Sus scrofa: one gene and its partner. The protein of the gene in region 1 interacts with the protein of each later gene in a biochemical or structural test. Links are inferred from orthologs where the notes say so. Each region holds a gene or a part of one and is shown on either strand. Other genes may lie near its edges.

What was found. The genes of interacting proteins can lie anywhere in the genome.
Region 2: the proteins of STX4 (region 1) and SNAP25 form a complex in vitro, tested with the Homo sapiens proteins (3 studies listed by BioGRID). The link is inferred for Sus scrofa from reciprocal best matches to the Homo sapiens genes STX4 and SNAP25.

The regions. Positions count from the first base shown.
Region 1 is NC_010445.4:17,426,412-17,433,805, forward strand, and holds the start of STX4 (syntaxin-4), read right to left. Parts: upstream 4,967-7,394; 5' UTR 4,348-4,966; coding exon 4,318-4,347; intron 4,130-4,317; coding exon 4,028-4,129; intron 3,916-4,027; coding exon 3,816-3,915; intron 3,680-3,815; coding exon 3,605-3,679; intron 2,866-3,604; coding exon 2,795-2,865; intron 1-2,794. UniProt on the Homo sapiens protein: Plasma membrane t-SNARE that mediates docking of transport vesicles. Necessary for the translocation of SLC2A4 from intracellular vesicles to the plasma membrane.
Region 2 is NC_010459.5:19,093,009-19,100,235, reverse strand, and holds the start of SNAP25 (synaptosomal-associated protein 25), read right to left. Parts: upstream 4,122-7,227; 5' UTR 3,942-4,121; intron 1-3,941.

The DNA.
Region 1 (7,394 bases):
GTCCCTCAAGGTGAAAGTCAAAGCCCTCCCCAAGGGCCTGAGAGGCCCTATATGACCCACCCCTCTCCCTGGTTCCCATCTAACCTCACCTTCCAATACTGTTTCCTCACTCCTTCCCTCCAGCCATAGTGGGCTCCTTACTCCTCCATGAACAAAGGACAGCCCCAGCTCGGGCCTTTGTACTCGCCCCTCCTTGGGCCTAAAATGCTCAGGCCCCACAAAGGTAATTAGTCTGTGTTTCAAGGTCGCCCTCTTATTTATTTATTTATTTGCCGCCCCCCCCTTCCTTTTTGTGCTTTTTAGGGCTGCACCCAAGGCATATGGAGCTTCCCAGTCTAGGGGTCAAATTGGAGCCACAGTTGCCAGCCTATAGCACAGCCACAGCAACACAAGATCTGAGCTGCACCTGCCACCTACACCACAGCTCACGGCAAGGCAGATCCTTAACCCACTGAGCAAGGCCAGGGATTGAACCCGCAACCTCATGATTACTAGTCAGATTCGTTTTCGCTGTGCCACAACAGGAACTCCAATTTTCTTTTTTGCTTTTTATTTATTTATTTATTTATTTATTTATTTATTTATTTATTTATTTATTTTTTAGGGTTTCACCCGTGGCATATGGAAGTTCCCAGGCTAGGGGTTGAATTGGAGCTGCAGCTTCCAGCCTACACCACAGCCACAGCAACGTGGGATCTAAGCCCCAGCTCACCACAATACAGGTCTTTAATCCACCAAGGGAGGCCAGGGATCGAACCTGCATCCTCATGAATACTAGTCGGGTTCATTACCGCTGAACCACAAGGGGAACTCCCTCAATATCACCTTGTGAACAGAGTTTTCTCTGCCTTATTGCAATTGCTACTTGCCTTCTCCTAGTGTTCTCAATCCCTCTTCTCCTGCTCTGGTCCCTTAACCCACCCTATGTTCTGAAATAACTTCCTGATTTATTATGGTGCTTCTCTCTCCTACCAGAATGTAAGCTCCGCGAGGATTGGGGTCTTTGGTTCACAAACAGCTAGAAAAGGCCCTCACACAGTAGACCCTTAATAAATAGGTGTTGAATGCTTGCTGAACACCAGCCTCACGGCTTAGACTAGAGGTGGGCCAGGTATACCTGGAGGTCCAGTGATTGCCCAGACTTCACAGGTCCACTCCAGCCTCTCACACCAGCGACCACCATAACCTCCCCCTGAAACGCCCTCTCACCTTGTCCATTCCTCAGTGTCTAAAATGTGCTTGGAGTTCCCGTCGTGGCGCAGTGGTTAACGAATCCGACAAGGAACCATGAGGTTGCGGGTTCAGTCCCTGGCCTTGCTCAGTGGGTTAAGGATCCAGCATTGCCATGAGCTGTGGTATAGGTTGCAGATGTGGCTCATTTCCCACATTGCTGTGGCTGTGGTGTAGGCCAGTGGCTACAGCTCCGATTAGACCCCTAGCCTGGGAACCTCCATATGCCGTGGGAAGCAGCCCTAGAAAAGGCAAAAAGACAAAATAAATAAATAAATAAATATAAGTAAAATGTGCTCACACCTGGAGTTCCTGTTGTGGCTCAACGGTTAAGAACCCGCCTAGTATCCATGAGGACGTGGGTTCGGTCCCTGGCCTTGCTCACTGGGTTAAAGAGCTGGCATTGCTGTGAGCTGTGGTATAGGTCAAAGACACGGCATGGCTCTGGGGTTGCTGTGGCTGTGGTGTAGGATGGTAGCTATAGCTCTGATTTGACCCCTAGTCTGGGAACTTCCACATGCTGTGGGTGTGGCCCTAAAAAGACACAAAAATAAAAAAATAAAATGTGCTCATTCCTTGGATTTCCTCAGAGACACAGCTGCTCTCCCGGCTTCAGCTGCACCCTTTCAAGATGCCCAAACTGTTTCGTCTTCAATCTGGGGTCTTTGCTGAGCTCTGGGCCCACCTATTCCAACTCTGAGCTCTAAGTATGCAAAACCCCTCCCCACTGGGCACCAAGAGGAGGCTGGTCAGACCTCAACTCTCCTTACAAAGATGGTGACTCAGTGACCTTCCCCCCATACCCCACCCCCAGAAGTTCCTCTTCCTAACTTCTTTTTTTTTTTTTTTTTTTTTTTGGCTTTTTAGGGCTGCACCCGCAGCACATGGAGGTTCCCAGGCTAGGGTTCTAATCGGAACTACAGCTGCCAGCCTACACCACAGCCACAGCAACGCCAGATCTGAGCCACGTCTGTGACCTATACCACAGCTCATGAGAACACCGGATCCTTAACCCACTGAGCAAGGCCAGGGATCAAACCCACAACCTCATGGTTCCCAGTCGGAGTCATTTCCACTGCGCCATGACGGGAACTTCTTCTCTTCCTGACTTCTTGATTTCGGCCTCTGGAGCAGAGGATGTCCCTGTCACATGGGCAGGGAACCTCCCAGTCATTTGACTGGGCCCTCTTCTTCCCTGGGCAGAGCCATTAGCTGCCAAGTCCTTCCTGAGTTATGTCTTTATCATCTATTCAAGCTTAACTCCCCCTCTTGGCTTCTAGAAAGTGTATCTCCTACAGCTGAGCCCAGAGCATGTCTGGGATCTCAGCAACTTCTCATTGAGTGGAGAAGAAGCAGGCAGGATGTTATAATGGACTGGAAGTTAGGAGACCTGGGTTCTTGACCTTAAGTGAGTCCTTTTTCTCTCGGAGCCTCAGTTTCCCCATTTGGAACATCATCAGGCTGGACCCAAGGATCTCTAGGCACCCTTCCTTCTTACATCTGCCAGCTATTTATCTAGAAAACACTTGTTGAAATGTCCTAGTTCTGGGAATAATGAACCCACCTGGGTTTTTCTCATTCTTGTGTTGACCGAGTTATAATTCTCATCGGCTTCCTCCTTCTGGGGCTCTATGGCTGTGGGAAGATATAAGGGTATTGGCAGAGGAAAGGGTTTGACCTGTGGCTTCTGAAATTCATTTGGGGACTTAGGACCCCAGCTGCCTGGCCATACAATAGAGAGCTGTTAATCTCCATAGGATGTTTTGGGGGAAATAGAATTGATCATAAAATGATATTCTGAGGCTCTGACAGGTGAAAGTATACTTTCCTTTGCAAATAAGTATACCAGAGAATTCCCACAGGTATGCAAAGGCCTCCGAACAAAACTGTCATCTGTTTGCACCAAGGATGCACCCTAGGCAGGAGGAATTGTAGGAGCACAATTGATCCTAGCACAGCATGGGTTTGAACTGTGTGGATCCACTTACACCTGGATTTTTAGAAAATAAATGCAGAATACACCACTGCACATTCCACGTTTTGGTGAATCCACCCACGAAGAACCTGGGATATGGTGGGCGGACCATGAATTGTTTGCAGATTATGACTGGGGGCGGGCCAGTGGCCACACTAATCTCCACCTTGGTCAAGGGTCAAATGTAAATGGTTTCATTGTAAATAAGGGAACCTGAGAGGCAGGCCTGCGCTGTGGAAAGAACTTTGGACTGGAAGCCAGGAGATGGAGATTCGAGACACAGGCCTGCTGTGTGGTCTGGTTATATATCACTGGCCTCTCTGGGTCACACACTCGCGGATATATCAGGCATTGGGCAGGATCAGAGCAAAGTATCTATCTGAGTTCCTAGACGCTCACCCTTGAGCTCTGCGCGGATGTCCCTCCCCAGCTGTTTGATCTCGTCACGCAGGTTCTGCAGGTCCTGCTTCATGCCTGAACAAGAAAAAGCCATGATGCCCAAAGCACGGCCCCTACCTCAACAAATCTCCCTGGCCACCACCTGCATGGAACTACCATCCCCACAATCCCTCTGACTGAGCATGCGTTCTGCACTCGCGATTTCACTCACTTTCCTCGGGAAGGGGCGTGGCCAGGATGGTGACCTGCTGCTTCTCCAACTCTCGGACCTTATTCTCCAGCTTGACAATAGTCTGCCGAATTGTCCGGACCTGGGGAGGATGACCGAGAGGGCTGAAGCAGATATGGGAGTCCTCCAGACCGCTCTGCACCTCGGGTCATCCAGCCCCCTCGTGAATCCAGACCGAGACCCCAGCCTCTTACCTTCTGGAAGAACTCATCGTCTGGGCTGCCCAGCCGTGCCGTGCCCGGGTGTACCACCAGCGCGACCCTCTCCTTGTCCTCATCGTCAGAGCTGTCATCTCCCTGACAGGGCCGGGGTCATTGGCATCACTTCCTTGCTGTTGCTTTCGCCCCGCGGGATTCACGGGCTTCCGGGTCTTCCAATCCCACAGCTACCCCTCCCTGCCCTGCCCCGAAGACCAGGAGTCCTGCATTCCAACTAGACCCTACCCCGTCCTCCTGTCCCAACCCCGCTGCGCCGGACTTCTCACCTGTCTCAGTTCGTGGGTCCTGTCCCGCATGGCGGCCCGAGCTCCCTCTCCCCGGCGCGGGAGCCCAGAGGGCCTCGAGATTCTAAGTTTGGAACTCCTGTACCCCACTCACTCTCTTGACACTTCTCTCTGCCCTCACCCTGTGGACCCCTAACCGCCCCCCACGAGCCGCCAGAGGCTCTATCCCTGACACCATCCACCGTCGAGGACAAGGAGCCGACCTCGGGGACCCCCAAGTTTCCACAGGTTGGAACTCCCTTTTCTTACCCCCCTCCCGCTCCCGTAGCTTCAGCCCCGCCCCCTCTGGGATGACTGGAGCATGCGCACCGCACCGCGTCCCTTCCCCGCCCGAGGGAAAGGCGGAGGTCGGAAGCGCCAGCTCCCCGAACGGAAGCAAAATTGCCAGGACGTGAGAACCCGCCCCCTTTGCCGGAACTATCGCATCTTCCAACGGAAATCTAGTTGCCAAAAGAGGTGGAAATGCGTCATTGGTACGTAATCTAGGGACCCAGCATCTCACATCACCCCATGGCGCCCCCCCCGCGTCACGTGACTGGCCCGGTCCCAGCCTCTTGGACCTTAGAACGTGATGCTCTGACTGTCACGTGTCTCCACTCTGTCAACTCGGTCTCCGGGACACCTAGCTCCCCACGACGTCCTCGGCACCCTGGCTCCCACAAGTCGGGAGGGGGCGCCGACTACCCCCAGACATCTTTTGAGACAGAGGGTGGTAGGACCCTGGCTGAATTCGGCTTTATTCCTTTTGGGTTCCGGGGGTGTGGGCAGATTGACGACTTAGAATTTGGGGCTGTCCACATCATGAGACCTTGAAATTCGGAAAAGAATAAGATCCGGCGTCAGAGAGTTGCAGGGTTTGTAGGCAGAGTATCTGGGGGTGGGAAGTGACCTCACCCGAGGCGGAAAGCTCTTCTCCCGCATACTCCTGGCACAGCTTCTGACAGGTGGGCGGCTGGCGCCCGGCTTGAACACTGCAGTCCCGCCGCACTCACCACCTTCTGAGCAGTGAGACCATTTCAGGACAGCTCAGGCTGAGAAAAGAGTCCATTATGTTGAGCAGCATATCACCTACACCCCTTCGCCCCCACCTTGCACCAGGGTTTACCCTCTGAAGGACACAAAAAAGAAACAATTCCGCATTACTGTGACCTGTGATTGCTTGAGGTGAAGGCGTGATTGTGTGGTTCTCACCCGAATCCCAACACCTAGTGGGCCCTCAGTAAATATTTGTGGACAGAACTTTAGCCTTTCCTATGTCTGAAGATGACGCGTGTGGTTCCCTAGTCCTCTCTTTTAGGCTTCAGGCTTTCATCGTGACACTTCCCAAAACCTGACCCTCTAGAGGTTCATTCATTCAGTGGATATTCATTAGGCACTTATTATGAGCAGAATGCTCTTCTAGGGCCAGAATTACATCCCGGCCCAACAGAGAAGAATGACTTATGCTTTTTGAAATCTACATTCTGTAGGAGGAGGCCCCAAGGCCACTGGGTCTCCCCATAGCCAGGATGGCTAGGACTGATCTAAGACTCCTGGATCCCAGGGCTCTCCCCGAGGAACTTATATGAAGGTCAAGCAAAGGAAGGAAAGGCCCTTCTCTACTAAGCCCCGATAAGGAAACCTAGATTTCTGTGACTGAGTTGCTGTGGACTTCTGGAAAATCTGGCAACTCCAGATTCTTAACCCACTCCTCTGGGCTGGGGATCATACCTGCATCGAGCTCGCCAGGGACACCATCGGTCCTGTTGTGCCACAGCAGGAACTCCTGGAAAGTCACTTTTTTTTTTTTTGTCTTTTGTCCTTTTTAGGGCCACACCCCAAACATATGGAAGTTCCCGGGTTAGGGGTCTAATCAGAGCTGTAGCCACTGGCCTACGCCAGAGCCACAGCAATGACAGATCCGAGCCGCATCTGTGATCTTCACCACAGTTCACAGAAATGCCGGATCCTTAACCCACTGAGCGAGGCCAGGGATGGAACCCACAACCTCACGGTTCCTGGTGGAATTCGTTTCCACTGAGCCACGACAGGAACTCCTGGAAAGTCACTTCCTATCTCTGGGCCTTAGTCTTCCATCTCTACAATGGGTGGCAGTGGCGGGGTGGGGGGAGAGCTAGTCTTTATGGGCATTCCCTGCGCTGAAGTTCAGTGACAGAGGTTAGAAATTGTCAAAAGTGCTAGCTGTCTCATTCTATGTAAAAGGCTTTGATCCTTCTCCTCTTCCCTTTAGAATCCAGCTCACCCAGGGTTGGGAATGAAGAAGTGAAGACAGTGCTACCCTGATCAACCGAGGGAAGAAGGAGGGTTCAGGAGGCCAAACCCTGCCCGTGGAGTTCCCCGGAACTCATGAGGAAGAGCAGGTCTGCTCTTGGGTCTTTCCCATCAGCCTCTGCCTCCCTGCCCCTCCTCCCTGGCACCCCTCTGGCCCTGTCTCTGCGTGGTACACTGGAAGGGCTTTCGGACATCTAACTCCTAGTTCAGTGTGCGATCTTGAGTCATTTATTGCCCCTCTCTGGAACTTATCTCCATTGACAACTTGATCTGGTCATTTCTGTCTTGCCTAAGCTAAGAGTTGAGCAATATCAGGGGAGTTAGGAAGTACATGAAAGGTTCTTATAAACTGGTAAGGGTTCTTCCCTCTGCAGGCTTTTATTACTATGAGTTCCAGGTCTCTCTGGGCCCACCAGTCCCACCTACCTCTCTCCGCCTTATGGTGTGGATTTGTTGGTGCCTTTGTTAAATTTCCCAGGATTATGATGGTCGTCCTTTCATTTGTGGTCTCTTCTGGGTGGGACCGCAGGGCTTTGGGACGGTGACTTGAGGCCGTCAGAGGCTGGGCTCAAAGCCTCGGGGAGTGGTGTGTGGAGGAGATGAGGAGCAGGGGCCATCCAGGAAGAATGGTTCTGGGAATGGAGCTTTCCAGAACTGAGCCTTTCTCTCTGTTTCATGGTCCTTTTTGACTCCTCTCAGGTCCTCTGAGCAGCCTTGAAGTGTGCATTAAGAATATTGGTCCTTGGAGTTCCCGGCATGGCGCAGTGAAAACAAATCCAACTAGGAAC
Region 2 (7,227 bases), on another chromosome or scaffold:
AAACTCTATGCTTTGTGCAGATAGAGTCCATGTCTGCCCTGTTTTCTGCTGTGTCTCAGTGCCCAGTCCAGAGAAAGAACCCCAATATATTTGGTGGGTGACCTTGAGAATAAGAGTATCAGTTTCTTTCATTGTAAAGCAGCAAATCTAAACCATGTCATCCTTAGTCACTTTATAGAAAATTTTACCGGGAGCCAAGTGATCTACATTGTAAGGGAAATATAGTAGACAAAATATCAAGTGTGGAGGCCAGAATACTCCATAATCAGAGGAGGACCTGGGTAAGGTCATTGGTTGTATTTTCTGACCTGTCAAATATGGAAGGTTGGATCAAATCATCTCTGAGTTCAGTTCTCATTTGGCCCACCGCAATGTGACTTTGCAACTCCTCCCCTTCAAAAGAAGAGCTGTGACTTGCTTTGACAAATAGTGTGGTGGAATGAGTACGTGCATGTTCTAAGCCACAATCTCAAGATTCGTTGTGTGATTTTCCTCTCACTCTTGGAAGCCTGCCTCCACCATGTAAATGAGCCCAGGCTAGGCTGCTAAAGGGTGAGAGACACATGGCCCAGTCATTCTCGCCACCCCAGCCAACAGCCAGCCAACTCCAGAAACAGAATCACTTAGCTGAGAAGAAGCTGACTGCAGATACATGAGTGAGCCCAGCTGAGACCAGGAGAAGGCTCCAGCTGACCCTAACTCACATTGTTGAACCAAATAAATCATTTTTTAAAGCCACCAAGTTTAGGTGTGGTTTGTTATGTATCCATAACTAACTGATCCAATTTTCAAATGGAAAATTCAGTGAGTCAATCATCTTTCCCTCCCTTGCACCTTCATACAGAGGGCACATTTTCCAGGAAACTTCCTCTAAGAAAGCATCCAATGTATTGTCTTGATGGTCTATTGTCTGCTTTTGTTTTGGCCACATAATTTCCTGAGTTATTATTCTATTGGCTATTTAAAGAGCTCTAACAGACATAGGATTTAGTCCACACATTATCCCTGGGACCTATTTATTTCTGCCTCAAGCCTTTTCAGATTTAGCTCAGGCCGAGCTACTCATGGCTCTTGATGTTCGCTGAAGAAAACAATGGAATAAGACATGTCAGTCTTTAGTATCTGCACCCCTCTCCTCTGCCAGCCACTGTCCTTGAAGGTGGATAGCACCCTCTTGTTATCTTCTGATGCTCCAGACTATTTGCCATGAACATCAAAGGTCACTTTCATGGCGACCATTCAGATCAGAACTCTGTTCTCTGCATTTCAAGGTAACACCTAGTTATGTAACAGATTAATTCTGCAGTGATGTGGTACATCACAGAAAATCCAGCTCAAAAACTGGTTCGAATGAAAAGGGGGAATTTATTTGTTTCTGTTACTGAAGGGTATTTGGCTTCAGGCATAGCTTTAATTAGGTTTCTATCCTTTTTCCTCTATCAATAATCTCTCTTCTCCTCTGTGTGGCCTTAGTATACAGGCAGGATTTCTTCACGTGGTGATGAAAACGGCTGCTGGGAGCCCAGCACTCCCGTATTTTCCACTGAAAAACTGTAGCACAAAAAGACCTCTCTTTTCCCAGCAGTTTCAGCAAAAGTCTTGAGGCGGATTCTCATTGGCCTCCTTGGGTCACGTACTGTGGCTGAAACTATTACTTTCTCCAGAGGGAATGGCATGTGCTAATTGGCCAAACTGATAACCTGCTAGCCCCCTGGAGAGGAATACAGTGGGAAGTGAGGGGGGTAGTGAACATCGCTCAATCACATGGATCCAGAGAAAGTGGGATTTCTAAGGGAACATCAGGCCCTGTTACTAGAAGGATGTGGGTAGGTGAACCCAGCAGTTATCGTCCCAAGAGTGGTTTTCAATCTCACTGTACATTACAGTCCCTGGGGTCTGGAGGGCAGGGGGTGGGGGTGGGGAGAAACTTTGGAAAACACCTCCAGAAATTGATTTATTCCATCTGAGGTGTCGCCTGGGCCTCAGTATGAGTTTAAGTTCTCCATGAGTAGCTGAGAGAAGGACTGCATTTGGGATATTAAAAGCTAATACAGCCTGATGCTGGGGAATGCCTTGAAGCCTGCAGGTCAAGCTAAAGGTGGGCAGCTCTCAGGGCAGAGTTCTTGACAGTGGAGAAAGGTGGAATCGGTATGGCATAGTCAAGTGGGAGTGGATTGGAGTAGGCAGACAGGAAGCTCTCCTTGCCCCCAATTTGAAGCATATTAGCAACCCCCTGCTGTGTCCCCAAGCTGCCAGCCCTGATGACAACTTTTAAAATTAGGTTTTGAGAAATGTTTCACTCCAAAAAGCCAAAGCATCCACTGTGACACCCTCAATTATAAAATGAAAGGGCTAAGGTCAGCTACCTTGTCAGAGGCCACCTCTCCCCAAGGTCAGAGGTAGGGGACCCTGGAGGGTCCCTGGCATCATTCAGCCTGGTGAGACCCCACTTGACTCCCAGGCCCCCATCAGAGGGAGGTGGAACTGCCATTCGCATCTTTGCTGCGGTGAAATGTTTTCTCCCAGCCAGTCGGAGGAGGCCAATTCTCCTCATCTTGCTAGGGAGGAAAAGTTCTGGCCAATCACAAGAAGCCAACTGGAGACTGCAAAAGTGGGGATGAGATGGCAAAATCTGTTTTTGGAGCTGCGAGAGACACACCTCTCCCTAGCAGAGCTGCCCCAGAAAGCTTGTCGTTAGGCAGCCTCTGGCAGCTGCTCCCCCACCCGGAATGGGTGGGGGTTTCAGAGGCTGCTGGCTGCCTGGTCTCTGTCTCCAGAATTCTACATCTTCAGAGTCTACCCCTTGAACAAAAACACGATGTGGGTTTTTTCCATGAACTTTCATTTTGGGGGGGAAATCAGGAGGGGAGAAAGCTCAGGGAGAGGTGGTGGGGTGCAGCAGGTAGGGTAAGGGACTGGAAATCCAAGCCCCAACACCTCTGTTCCTATCCTGTCTTCCTCGACTTGGGCACATGAGAATCCTTGAACCTCAATTTCCTCATCTGTAAAATGGGTTCCTAGATGTGCCTGAGAATCTTCCAGGCCCTGCAAATTCTCCAGTTATGATAAGGAAGGAAGGGGCCACCAGCCTGCTTTGCTTTGGGGGCAATTGTTGGTTGGGGCTGAGTAACTGAGCTTTTATGACCCCCACCCCATTTTTAAGAGTAAGAGACATCCCCCCTTTTCTCTTGGTCCTTTCCTTCCATCCTGATTACTATCACTGTCACTCTAGGAGCATAAACATTGGGGAGGATGCTCGAGGTGTGTGAGGGGTCGCCAAGCCCCCACACCTCCAAACGATGACTTTTAATTCCAGTTTTACCAAGAGAGATGGTCTGCGCTTCTGCAGATACAGAGACTCGAAGCCGCTTCCGTTTTTGCTCTTCTCTCCCGTCTCTCACCCCCCTCCCTCCGCCTTCCTTCCACTGCTGTTTACTGATCGCCCAAGTCGTGATGACGTGCCAGGCACGATGCCAAGTGAGAGGGCCCCCGAATGCATCAGGGGGTGGATTAGAAAGCTCTGCCCTGGCGGAGCCTCCCGGGGCAGACGTGGAAATAAACAAACAGTGACAGCATCGCGCCCCGAGGGCTCCCGCGGAAATGAGCATGGGCTGTTTGGAAAGCCCACACGACGACCCCCGACCCAGGAGAGGCCCGCCCGGCGCGCCTCGCCCCCGCTGCAGATGGCAGGGGGCGGGGGAGGCCTGGCGGCAGCCCCGCGGGTACCGCAGTGAGTCAGGAGCCCGCCTCCCATCCTGCGCGCACCAGCGAATCCCCGCCGCCCAGCTCAGCCCGGCCTGCGCAGCGCCTCCGCCCACCCCTCCTTGCCTCGCGTCTTCTGCTCGCGGGGGTGGGTGGGGATTGGGGGGAATCTGTCTCCCCGACCTTCCATCGCGGCCTGGAGCCGTGGCCACTGGAGAGAGGCCAAGGGGTGCGAATACCTGCCCTGCAGAAGGGAGGCGATGGCCGAGCTGCAGTGTTCCTTGGCATCTGGAACGTTGCCTGGGAAAAGGAAGGAAACAGAACCGGTGAAGTGACTCAGGATTCTTGGAGTGGCTAGGAGGCACGGGTGCAGAGGGCTGATTCCAGAAGGAGCGGTGGGAGGCAAGAGGCCTAATGGGTCTCTAAATCTCAGAGGGATCCTGCCCCAACCTTAGCTTGATTTTTTTTTTTTTTTTTTTTTTTTTGTAGAAGAGTAGAAATGCACTTAAAAAGTATATCTCTAAAAATACCAAACTGATGTTATTTGGGTGAATTCACACCAAGCAGATGACCCAGAAAAAGGAGTAAGATCCTGATGTCTTCAGCATGCGCAGAATAATCACTCTGCTGGGCTCAGGCCAAATGCCTTAAGCCCATTGGCCTTTCCGGATGACCTTTTGGGAAGGAAGGCTGGTGGCTGGATGGAAATGAAGCACAGCAAACGGGTTCCATTTATATCAGGAACCACCCAAAAGCGGCCATCTTCAAAAGGCCACTCTGAGCTCCAGGGGCTGCAGGGAGGTTACCAGTTCCCTTAGGAGCTTCTGGGGGCTGGGCTCTGTCCTTCCCCCATAGGCTAATGGCAGAGGGATAGCACTGCCCTGGGCCTCTGGGATGAAAGAGCTACCCCAGCCTAGCTGTGCCGCTACCAAGATGGGCTGTGATTTGTTCCACAAAGCCTGTGACTTGGCATCTCAGTGCATAGAGGGCCAGAGGGAAGCCATCTTTGTTTCTCTTGCCTGCTCCACTTTGCTTCCAGATGAGAAGACTGTCCTTCTTTAAAAAGCAGCCAAAGTCATGCTTCTAGAAATTAAGCCAGAGAGTACTGTCACCTGCTAATCCCAAGTCATTACAAAGCCTACAGGCCCTCCAAAATCGGCTCCTGTTACCATGCACCTCCTCCCTTTCCACTTTTCCCCCTCATTCTATCTGTTCCAGCCACCCTGGCCTCTTCCTTTTCCTTGAACACACCAGAGCACATCCCTACCTTTGTGCATGCTGTCCCTTCCACCTGGAACTCTCTTCCCCTAGACATTTATTTCACTCTGATCGAAAGACCACCCTATCCAAAATAGCATCCTGTCCACTGCACCTGTACTGTCTGTCTTCATAAACCTCCTTACTGTTTTCATGTCCTTATTACATGTTTATTTATCTGTTTATCATACATCTCCCCTAGAACATGAGTTCTCTGAGGGCAAGATCTTTGTCTGGTTGGTTATTCTACTAACAGTGCCTGGCACACTGTAGGTGCTCAAATAAATATTTGTGGGAAGAACAAGGTCAAGATTGGCCAAGGAATTTGCTCAGCTTCTCACATTTAGTGAACAGCTAGGAGCTGAGCCCCTTACCTCCTCCTGACCTAGAACTTTTCTAGTACTAGTCTCATGCTCAAGCTGGTATTTTAGAAATGATCTCAATGTGAAATCAGGCTGCACAATGGCTATTGAGTAAGCTGGACACCTTCTCAAGATGCTGTTTTTAAGGTTCCCCCGAAAGCCCAAGTGCCCCATCACTCTGGAATGTAAATATTTATAAAGGAGGTAAGTTCCAATAGATGTTGAGTGATTTATGATGCCGTGCTAACCTTTGGTCTTTCCCGACTTTTCTTCTTTCACCACCTTTGAAGCCTTGGCTGGAAGCCAAGGTTTAAAGCCAGTAGGGCCTTTGTGCTAAATCTCATCGTACCACTAAGTCTGGAGTTATTTTTGGAGGGGAGAGTCCTACAAACTGAACCTAGAATCATAAGATCTGTATCATTGCATTGGAATATGGCTAATGGTCATCTGGGCAAAGATGAGCCTTCTAAGTGGTTCAGTCTTCTTGGGGTTGTTTTTTGATGCCATACCCACTAGTTCCTTTTCTTAGCAATTGCTTATTTTCTCTTTTAAGTTTGAATATTATAAAGGATGTCCAAGAATTTCAGCAGTGCTGGTACTTTTTAAAATAACATGATGCAAAGAAATAATTCTGAGTTGGAGACAGGAAAACTGGGTTTGCATTTTGATTGCTCTGTATTCTACCTCTGTGACTCTCTTTGTGTTCCAAGTCCTCATTTGAACAGGTAGGGCTGTACTGTCCACGTGAGAGCACTGTGGTGAAGGTCAGATGAGTTATTGTGGAATAAATTGATTTGTAGGTGGTACAGCACTGGGTACTTCCCTGCCCAGCATGAAGCTCTTAGAAAGAATATTAAAAAGAAAATTGAGACTCAAAGTCCATCTTTCTGGAGTTACAGTCATGGTGGGAGCTGTGTACAAAATACAGTTAATACACATTAAGAAAGCAGTTGAGAGCTGAAATGGAATACCTGCAGGTATCGAGGTCACTGTGCCAGAGACTGGTGTTGGGGGGTTGTGATCAATGAGCAAATTGGGAAGTGTGTGATGGCTGAATCATAGGGCTGGAACCATGGAACAAGTGGGAGTGGGAGGAACCAGACAATGAATGCCATTTGATCAAACTGACATGAAACAGATACTGGAAGAATGGAGGGGGTAGGACAGGGCCTAGTTCCTGTCCTCTTTTCATTTAGCAAATATTCTTGGGTGCTAACCAGGTGTTAGACATGGTCTTACCATCATCTCCAGGAAACACCAGGGAATTGATGAATAGCCATATCCTTCTTGTAAGTGGGCTACTATTGGTACACCATACCCCTCCTCTATCCCACACCCCACCCCAGTTTTGAGCCATTGATTAGAGAACTAGGGGATTTGAACCTCCTGAACTCCAAGAAAAGCATATAACTTTTTATAGCTGGAAGGCTGATGCAGGTTTCTAGGGAGACAGAAGAATGGATTTTCTGGGGTTTGATGATGCTTCCAACAATCTGAAATGGCAGGATCAAACTAGTTAAAAATCTAACTTTACCCTTTTATTATCAATTTATCCAATACCCATTATATATATATATTATATATATATATATATTTAATCAGTTACCTGCCTCTCTCTGTGTTGTCTGTTTTAGTCAATGAGCCACTAGGTGTTGGGCAATCTGTCTTCCTAGCATACCAAGTACCTAGTCACCATGTCAAAAAGCACATAGAAAATACTGTCTAATAACAATGTGTTTTCTCTAACGTGTTAACTATAAAATAGCCTTCAAATGACCAAATTTTTTATCATTCACTGAGTATTTATCTGGAACCTATGATGTTCTCCTTTGTGGGTGTAGCTTTACCTACCTTATTTTACTATTTTATTGGTTCTTTAATAATAGCTTTTCATAATTATGATGAT